2 linked regions of the Daphnia pulex genome follow. The protein of the gene in region 1 binds, or shares a complex with, the protein of each later gene. Links are inferred from orthologs where the notes say so. Each region holds a gene or a part of one and is shown in the gene's direction. Other genes may lie near its edges.

What was found. The genes of interacting proteins can lie anywhere in the genome.
Region 2: crooked neck-like protein 1 (region 1) and G-patch domain and KOW motifs-containing protein-like share a complex: the UniProt entries of both Homo sapiens proteins name them as parts of the minor spliceosome. The link is inferred for Daphnia pulex from reciprocal best matches to the Homo sapiens genes CRNKL1 and GPKOW.

The regions. Positions count from the first base shown.
Region 1 is NC_060026.1:11,199,186-11,203,497, reverse strand, and holds the start of crooked neck-like protein 1, read left to right. Parts: upstream 1-1,436; 5' UTR 1,437-1,527; coding exon 1,528-1,578; exon of another isoform or gene 1,579-1,581; intron 1,582-1,637; coding exon 1,638-1,727; intron 1,728-1,789; coding exon 1,790-2,008; intron 2,009-2,070; coding exon 2,071-2,291; intron 2,292-2,355; coding exon 2,356-2,804; intron 2,805-2,864; coding exon 2,865-3,172; intron 3,173-3,264; coding exon 3,265-3,489; intron 3,490-3,552; coding exon 3,553-3,749; intron 3,750-3,819; coding exon 3,820-4,006; intron 4,007-4,082; coding exon 4,083-4,312. Other genes in the region: probable maleylacetoacetate isomerase 2, read left to right, coding at 1-25, 84-151, 248-328, 428-632, 729-831, 896-1,022. UniProt on the Homo sapiens protein: Involved in pre-mRNA splicing process. As a component of the minor spliceosome, involved in the splicing of U12-type introns in pre-mRNAs.
Region 2 is NC_060019.1:137,191-141,342, reverse strand, and holds G-patch domain and KOW motifs-containing protein-like, read left to right. Parts: upstream 1-1,305; 5' UTR 1,306-1,402; coding exon 1,403-1,557; intron 1,558-1,621; coding exon 1,622-1,907; intron 1,908-1,966; coding exon 1,967-2,073; intron 2,074-2,143; coding exon 2,144-2,327; intron 2,328-2,385; coding exon 2,386-2,518; intron 2,519-2,583; coding exon 2,584-2,691; intron 2,692-2,870; coding exon 2,871-3,040; intron 3,041-3,104; coding exon 3,105-3,260; intron 3,261-3,322; coding exon 3,323-3,454; 3' UTR 3,455-3,512; downstream 3,513-4,152. UniProt on the Homo sapiens protein: RNA-binding protein involved in pre-mRNA splicing. As a component of the minor spliceosome, involved in the splicing of U12-type introns in pre-mRNAs.

The DNA.
Region 1 (4,312 bases):
TCGTGTTCATGGAGAGTGCGTATAGGTAAAAAACGTAAATAAATATATCTTTAAGATTAATTTACATGAAAGTATTTATTTAGCTCTAGAATTTAAAGAAATTGAATATGAATACAAAGCTGTTCATTTAGTGAAGGGAGGTGGTCAGCAGGTACTAAATTTTAAAATTATTAAATCATCACAATGTTCACAGTTAAACCCATATAAATAGCTAAAATACCGCTGGCATATTTTTCTATGTATTTAGAATGCTGATGACTATAAAATCATAAACCCCATGGCTCAAGTTCCATCACTAACAATTGGGGACAAAGTTTTCACTCAGTCGGTAAGAGGGACACTATATGAATATGACACTATAGATATATAAGACCTTCCAGTTCAAATTTCAATGCATAATTTTTACTTCCATCTCCTGTACATTTAGGTAGCTATTTTGGAATATTTAGAAGAATCTTATCCTTTAAAACCCTTATTGCCAAAAGATGGTGTGATTAGATTCAAAGTGAGAGAAATATGTGAAATTATTGGTTCTGGGATTCAACCCTTACAGAATTTGGCTGTACTTAAACAATTTGAAGAATCTAAACAGAAAGATTGGGCTGCTAAGTGGATTTTCAAAGGACTCACTGGTAGGTGAAGATCTTCATGAATATATCAATAAAAAAATTAATAAACTCTAAGAAATATGTGCAAAGTTTATATAAAAACCCAATTTTTTATTACAGCATTAGAAAAAATATTAGAAACTTCCAGTGGAAATTACTGTGTTGGAGATGATGTTACAATGGCTGATTGTTGCCTTATCCCACAACTGTACAATGCAAGGAGGTAAAGACTAAAGTTTCCATGATTCGTTTCATGTTCTCTTTTTCTCACGCTTCGTCTGAATAAGGTTTGATGTGGACGTGGCACAGTTTCCTAATATTGCTCGTGTGGAAAAGAATCTCGAAGTTCTTGAGCCTTTCGTAAAGGCTCACCCGAGCCGACAACCAGATTGCCCGCCTGAACTTTCAGCATGAAAATAAAACAAAAAAATTGATGTGAAATAGTCGGACTTCAGTCCATAGAATAACGATATTAAACGATGATTATAATTTGGTCGATGGGTTGCGAATACGGGAGAATGAATTGCAATGGAACTTGTTATGCTGTTTGATATTTACTGAAAAATAAACAAAATTTGCCATTATCACTTATCAGATATTTGCAATATTTATGTCTTGAAACTATAGAATAAATAGAGTGTATTCCAGTATTCCTGTAAAACTGAAACCTGAAAAGTGCTAAATCCGGTTAAAATCTTTCAAAAAACCTGTTGAAAGCTGGTAAACAATCAATCTGGCAACGTCCGATTCGTCGTCTGTTCGGTTCGTACGAGTCGCGCTCGCGCAACTGCAATCTGCAAGAAGCATCACTTGCTCGTGTCAGTTCAATACTACAGTACCAAGTGTCAGTCATAGACTCATATCTGTTAAAACCTTATTTTATTTTTTTTACAAGTGCTCATTTAAAAAGTAATCTAAAATGGATTCGGGTGGATTCGGTAAACCACAAAAACCTCCTAAAGTTGCCAAGGTTGTAATACTTAAATGTAAGAATGCTCTTGACATTACTTATAACACATTTCTCTTTAGGTTAAAAACAAAACACCGGCAGAAATTCAAATCACTGCTGAGCAGTTGCTTCGGGAAGCTAAGGAACGTGATCTTGAAATTGTTCCACCAGTAAGTGTTTCGGCAATAGATAACAACTTGAAGAACTGAAGTAAGAAATTTTCTATTTTTAGCCCCCTAAACAAAAAATTTCAGATCCCGATGAGTTAGCAGACTACCAGTACAAGAAACGCAAAACCTTTGAAGATGCTCTGCGGCGTAATCGTAATGTTATTACCAACTGGATCAAGTATGCTCAATGGGAAGAAAGCCAAAAAGAAATTCAAAGAGCCAGAAGTGTTTTTGAGCGTGCTCTTGATGTAGACCATCGTAACATTACCCTTTGGCTGAAGGTAATTAATTTTCATTTGTTAAATCTGTGAAATAATAAATATCTAATTTTAAAAAAATTTAGTATTCAGAAATGGAAATGAAAAATAAGCAAGTCAATCATGCCAGAAACTTGTGGGACCGTGCAGTTACAATTTTGCCTAGAGCAAATCAGTTTTGGTATAAATATACCTACATGGAGGAAATGCTGGCCAATATAGCTGGTTGTCGTCAAGTATTTGAAAGGTGGATGGAATGGCAGCCAGATGAACAAGCTTGGCAAACATACATCAATTTTGAATTAAGGTAAATAAATGTAGTAAATACTAACGTTACACTTATCAACGTCCAATTTTTGTCCAATAACTAGGTATAAAGAATTAGATCGTGCTCGCTCAATTTTTGAACGGTTTGTCTATGTGCACCCGGAAGTAAAAAATTGGATCAAGTATGCCAAGTTTGAAGAAAGGAACGGTTACATTATCGGTGCCCGCCAGGTGTATGAACGGTCGGTGGATTTTTATGGTGATGATCACATGGACGAAAGGCTTTTCATAGCCTTTTCCAAGTTTGAAGAGGGCCAAAAAGAACATGAACGAGCAACTGCTATTTACAAATTTGCTCTCGAACACATGTCAAAAGATAAAGCAGCAGAATTGTACAAAGCCTACACAATTCACCAGAAAAAATTTGGAGAGCGTGACGCTATAGAAGACGTTATTGTCAGTAAAAGAAAATTTCAGTATGAACAAGAAATTAAAGAAAATCCATCAAATTATGATGCATGGTTTGATTATTTACGCCTAATGGAAAGTGAAGGTATTTTGACTTACTATCAAATTTTTAAGGAATTGTGTCGAATGTGTATTGTATCTTTAGGTGACGCTGACGTTGAAGTAGTGCGAGATACATACGAAAGAGCTATTGCCAACATCCCGCTAGTAGCTGAGAAGTCCTTTTGGCGTCGTTACATCTATCTGTGGATTAACTATGCACTTTTCGAAGAACTGGAAGCCGAAGATTATGAAAAAACTCGACAGGTCTACGATTCATGTCTTAAGCTCATTCCGCATCGTAACTTCACATTCGCCAAAATGTGGCTCCTTTACGCCCATTTCGAAGTTCGACAGAAAAATCTGCAATTGGCGCGTAAAATTTTAGGTACTGCGATTGGTAAATGTCCAAAGGTAAATATGTTTCAGTATTTTTTCTTTCAAATATGAAATCTAATTAGAGGCCAGTCTATGAACCAGTTTTTAATAAATCTGGTTATTTATAGAACAAGTTGTTCCGTGGATATATTGATTTGGAGATCCAGCTGAGAGAATTTGACCGCTGCAGGACATTGTATGAAAAGTTCCTCCAAAACGGTCCAGAAAATTGCACCACTTGGATGAAATTCGCCGAACTAGAAACTTTACTGGGAGATGTGGATCGTGCTCGCGGCATTTACGAGCTTGCCATCAAGCAGCCTCTACTAGATATGCCAGAAATTCTTTGGAAGGTAAATTAAACTTTAAATATGTGCACAGATCTCATTCCTAATGGAGTTGTGTTTGTTCTTCAGGCTTACATCGATTTTGAAATCGAACAAGAGGAGAATGATAAAGCCCGATCGTTATATGAGAGACTTCTAGAACGCACGCAGCACGTAAAAGTCTGGATGAGTTTTGCTCAATTTGAGCTCACTCTAGCAGCATCTCAGCAGGAGGACCCAAGTTTGCCAGTCGCAGCAGCTAGAGCAGTCTTCCAGCGTGCAAACAAGTTCGCATTTCTTTGCTTTGAACTATTAGCCTCCGTAAATTACCTTCTTAATTCCCCATTATGTTACTAGGTCGCTACGTTCTATAGCTCAGTCAGTCGGTCTTGAAGTGGCTACCAACAAAGAGGAGCGATTGATGTTGTTGGAGGCTTGGCAAGAATTCGAATATGAATATGGAGATGAGGGATCTCGCAATGCGGTTGTTAACTTGATGCCTAGACGTGTGAAGAAGAGGAGGCGGATCCAAACACAAGATGGGGTATGTGATAATATTTTGCGTTTAGATGCAAAATTTTGTGCGTTGCAATGTTTTTTTCTTTTCTTTTTTTTTTTAGACCGATGCTGGTTGGGAAGAGTATTTCGACTACATTTTCCCCGAGGATGAAGCTACTAAACCCAATCTTAAGCTCTTGGCTATGGCCAAAGCTTGGAAAATGGCAAAAGAATCCGCTCCATCAAACCAGGAAGAGGAACTACCCAAAAGCAATGCTCCATTGGCTGACACTGTGTTACCACCAGTGTCCTTGTCCACAGTCCCCGACGATCGCGATGATTCGAGTGAATC
Region 2 (4,152 bases), on another chromosome or scaffold:
AGTCGATGACCTTGACCGTAAAAGACCTCTTTTTTTCACCGTTTTAAATCGAAGGGGGGTTAACAAACGTCAATGACCCTTTTAATTGAGAAAAGAAAGGGTAAATCGACGCCCTTCTTCTTTTTTTACTACCTGTTGTATACGGGGACTTTTTTTAACGCTTGGAGGTAACTTTTAAAACATTTAAATTGCCGGCCTTCTGAATTTGGTAAAAGATTTGAAATGTCGTCGTCGTAATGGAAAATTACAGACTAGAAAGATCGTCTCTTGGGGTTATTCTACTACTAATACAACCTCGAATGGTTGTCCTTTTATAGGGCCAGTGGCTACATGGAGACCTTGAACGAAATGAAATCAATCTTTTTTTAAAAATAAACTACTATTTGGGAAAACAGCCAATCTATTCCAAGTTAAGCAACAAATTGTCGAGTAACCTTAACCCTATTTTTCCTAGAAATGGGAGCAAGACACTTGGTACAAATAAATTTCAGGTCAGGATAAATGTGTTTTGTAATAACATACGGTTGGAATTATGTCACAGCACTGTGTTAGTAGTACCATAGAGGAAGGAGTGAATGACGAAATCAAACCCAACACTCTATGGCAGTACGTAGTTGTTTTGGAATGAACAAATATCGTCGATGCTCGTAAATGCGTAAATATTTTTGTTCTAGAGTTTTATTTTGTCGTCTGCTTGACTCGTCCGATGCAGACATCTAGCGAGTGTCTGGTAGATTACACCGAAGGTTACGATTGGTCAATTTCGGAACCAGCCTACAAAAAAATCAAGGCCCCGGTCGTTCGATTTTATTAAATAAATATACTTGATTGTGTCACATGATTATGTCACTTCAATGGTCTACGTGCATCAGTATCAATATATAGTGACCTCAATTCTTTGATGAAGCCTTACAACTTTGTCAATATGATGCGAGCATCTCCATTGCGTGACGCTACAGGCAGTTACAAAATGAGCCCATGATATCATCTTCTCATCTTCGTGCTCCATTTCCTTTTAATTACGTACTCGGTTACATTTTAATCAAAGTCAAGTAGGCACTAGAGGCAACCGCGGCTGTGGCCTGGCGGCATCAGCGTCAGGCAGGATGAAATCAAATCAGTTGCAGTTGCCTAGTAACATAATTGAATTTTTCCTTCAGACAATTTAATTAAAACGACGAAACATCGCCTTCGCCTAGCGAATTAATTAGATATTTTAATTACACGAAAATTATGCAGAAGCTACGCGTAGTTATAATACCACCGCAGAATGCACGGCAGTTGTCTGATTTGATTTTTCAATGTTCGTCTGCTTGCGTCTCCCCACCTTTTTTGTTGTTTCCATAAAGACATCTTCTGAGCGAAAAGGAAATCCTTGATATTAACGTATTCGTGTGTCATTATGTCGGAAACCAAGCCTGGTGTGTCTTTTGCCTTTAGTTCAAAAAAGAAACATGATAACGTGAAATTAACTCAGTCGAAACTATTGGATACGACTCAAGAAACTCGCGAAGAGACTGATTTCGTCAAAACTGTCGAGCACAACAAAATCAATGGGTATGTTGCTTTTCCCGCCACAAAATATTAATTTTACATTCATTTTCTGCATTATTCTATTTAGATCCATCAAAAAAGCACCCAAAAAGGAACTGGTTATTCCTCTTATAACAAAGAATCGGTGGAGGACCCCTGGCAGTGATACCAAAACCGAGAACACAGAAGCATCAGACTTGGACAAGCAAGCCGAAAAAGAAATCCTGCAAGAAACACTGAAGGCTGTTGATGGCTGGGAGAACAGAGGCAATGGCGTACCCTCCAACATTGATATCCCCCTATTTATGCAAAATCGTGTTCCATCTGGCTTTGAAACAGATGAAAAAGTAGATGTTTCCCTCCGTGCAGATCAGGTACTGAATTTCGCAACTGCACCTTAATTATGTAATTAACTCTTGACATTTCTCTCTAGTCCACACTTGATGATTATGAAGCGATCCCAGTGGAAGCCTATGGAATGGCCATGTTGAGAGGAATGGGTTGGAAAGCCTCAGAGGGTATCGGTCTCTCTAGAAAAGGGTATCATTGCCATATTTCACATTAATTAATGGTTCTGAATTCTCATCAAATTATCTTTTATTCAATCAAGAGTGGCTGCTCCCATGGAGGTGAAACTTAGGCCTAAAGGACTTGGTCTTGGGGCTGACCGTACTGTTTTAGAAAATGCAGCTAAAGCTTTAACAAAGCCAAAAGAAGGCGAAGAAGAGCTCAAAGTGATTATCGGTGCAAATGTACAGTTGCTCAGCGGGAAACATCAAGGTTTATATGGACAAGTAAGTAAAAATTCTATTAAAATCTGCCATTAAATTATAACTAAATTTGTTTCATCAGGTTCTTAGCATGGACGCAAACACTGGTCGTGCTCTGGTGCGGATGGCTGTCGGAAGCAACGAATTGGAAATGAGCGAGCTCTTTCTGAAACCAGTTTCTGCTAAAGAATATCGTGATTCCGCCAGGATTCTGAGTAAATTAAATCTATTTCAAGCCAAATTTCTTCTTGAAATTAATCATCTTTCTTTTAATTCTCAGACAAGGAAAAATACGACGAGTACAAAACGAAACAGGACAAGGAGCGAAACGAGAAGGAAAGAAATGATCGCGAGAGCAGAAAGAAACGGAAGCATAGTCCTAGCCATCGTAAGTAGTGATAGATTGTCCTGTCTAGCTCCTCCTACCCAAGGTCACGCTTTCCTACATTTATCATTGGCGTTCTCGTGCCAGCCGCCCAGCCCGTACCGTCAGAATTTCCCGTTGTTAATTAATCAGTTTGTAATGAAATTCCACTATAATAATTTTTTCCTTTTATTTTAAAAAAGGTAGTCGTCGGAGTGGCAGTCGGGAGCGCCGTGATGAGAAGAAAGAATCTCGTTCTAAAAATCGGTCGTCGAAAGGTTCTGACGAGAAACGAGAACCTTGGCTTCACCCACTCTTGCGAGTCCGCTGCGTCGATTCTTCATTCAAGGACGGCCAATTCTACAAACAGAAAGTAAATAAAAATGTCCTAAAAATAAAAGATGAATTTCTCTCACGCCGATTGGTATGAATTCCAGATGGTTGTGGTGGACGTGATTTCCAAGAATCATTGCATTTGCAAAGCCGAAAACGGGAAACTTTTGGAAAACGTCAACATTTCTAAATTGGAAACTGTCATTCCGCGTAGCGATCCCGCTTACGTCATGGTCGTCAAGGGCAAACGAAAAGGACAGGTTGTTAGCTGAAATTTACACACATGTTGTTTTTGTTAACTTGTTTATTTTTTAATAAAAAGGTCTGCCAAGTGATTGAAAGGGACAAGGAACGATACACGGCCACCGTCCAGATTCTACCGGATCGCGATGAAGTTTTCCAACTAGACTACGACGACATTTGCGAATACACGGGAGATGTGCGCAACTTGTAATCACAAAATAACTCGACTTGGTTTTTAAATAAAAACAAATGTGCTATTCGTGTTTAATTTCATAACGATTTTCACCCTTTTTGTCTTCATTGTTGCACCTCTCACATAATTTGCTACGTGACCCAGACAGCTGTGGCAATCTCTCATTATGCAAATGTTTGCCGAAAGCTCTCTCTCTTATCATTTTAATGATACGTTACGCTAATGCAAATTTTTCAAGTGGAAAAAGAGATGAGAAAGTACAAGGCGCGCCAGTCAGTCTGGCAAGAACTTTGTGTGTTTTCAATGGGATTTATTAAAGTATACACCGGCATCGTAAAAATACACGAGCTATAGGGGGAATACGGTAATGGTACACACCTTTCACGTGCGTGTTCCCCTTTATTTTTGCATCGATATTTTTCGGTACAGAGTACACTGAACCCACACAGCGTAGCTCAATCAATTCACGAGAAAAGCGTATAGGCTACCACCCTACGGGGGACAGTGGGGGGGCTTTTTTTCGCTCGGTCATTTCTCATGACTCCCGCCGAAGTCCGAACGAACGAACGAACGATGAAGGTCTGCTGTGTGCAGACTACGTAACAGCTCAGTAACAGGGCCGCTCTTCAGTTGTTTCCTTACTCTCGCAGCTGATTGGTCGTTGCCTTGTTACTGCGAGACTTATCACGCCATACAACAACAAAAAAACATATAAC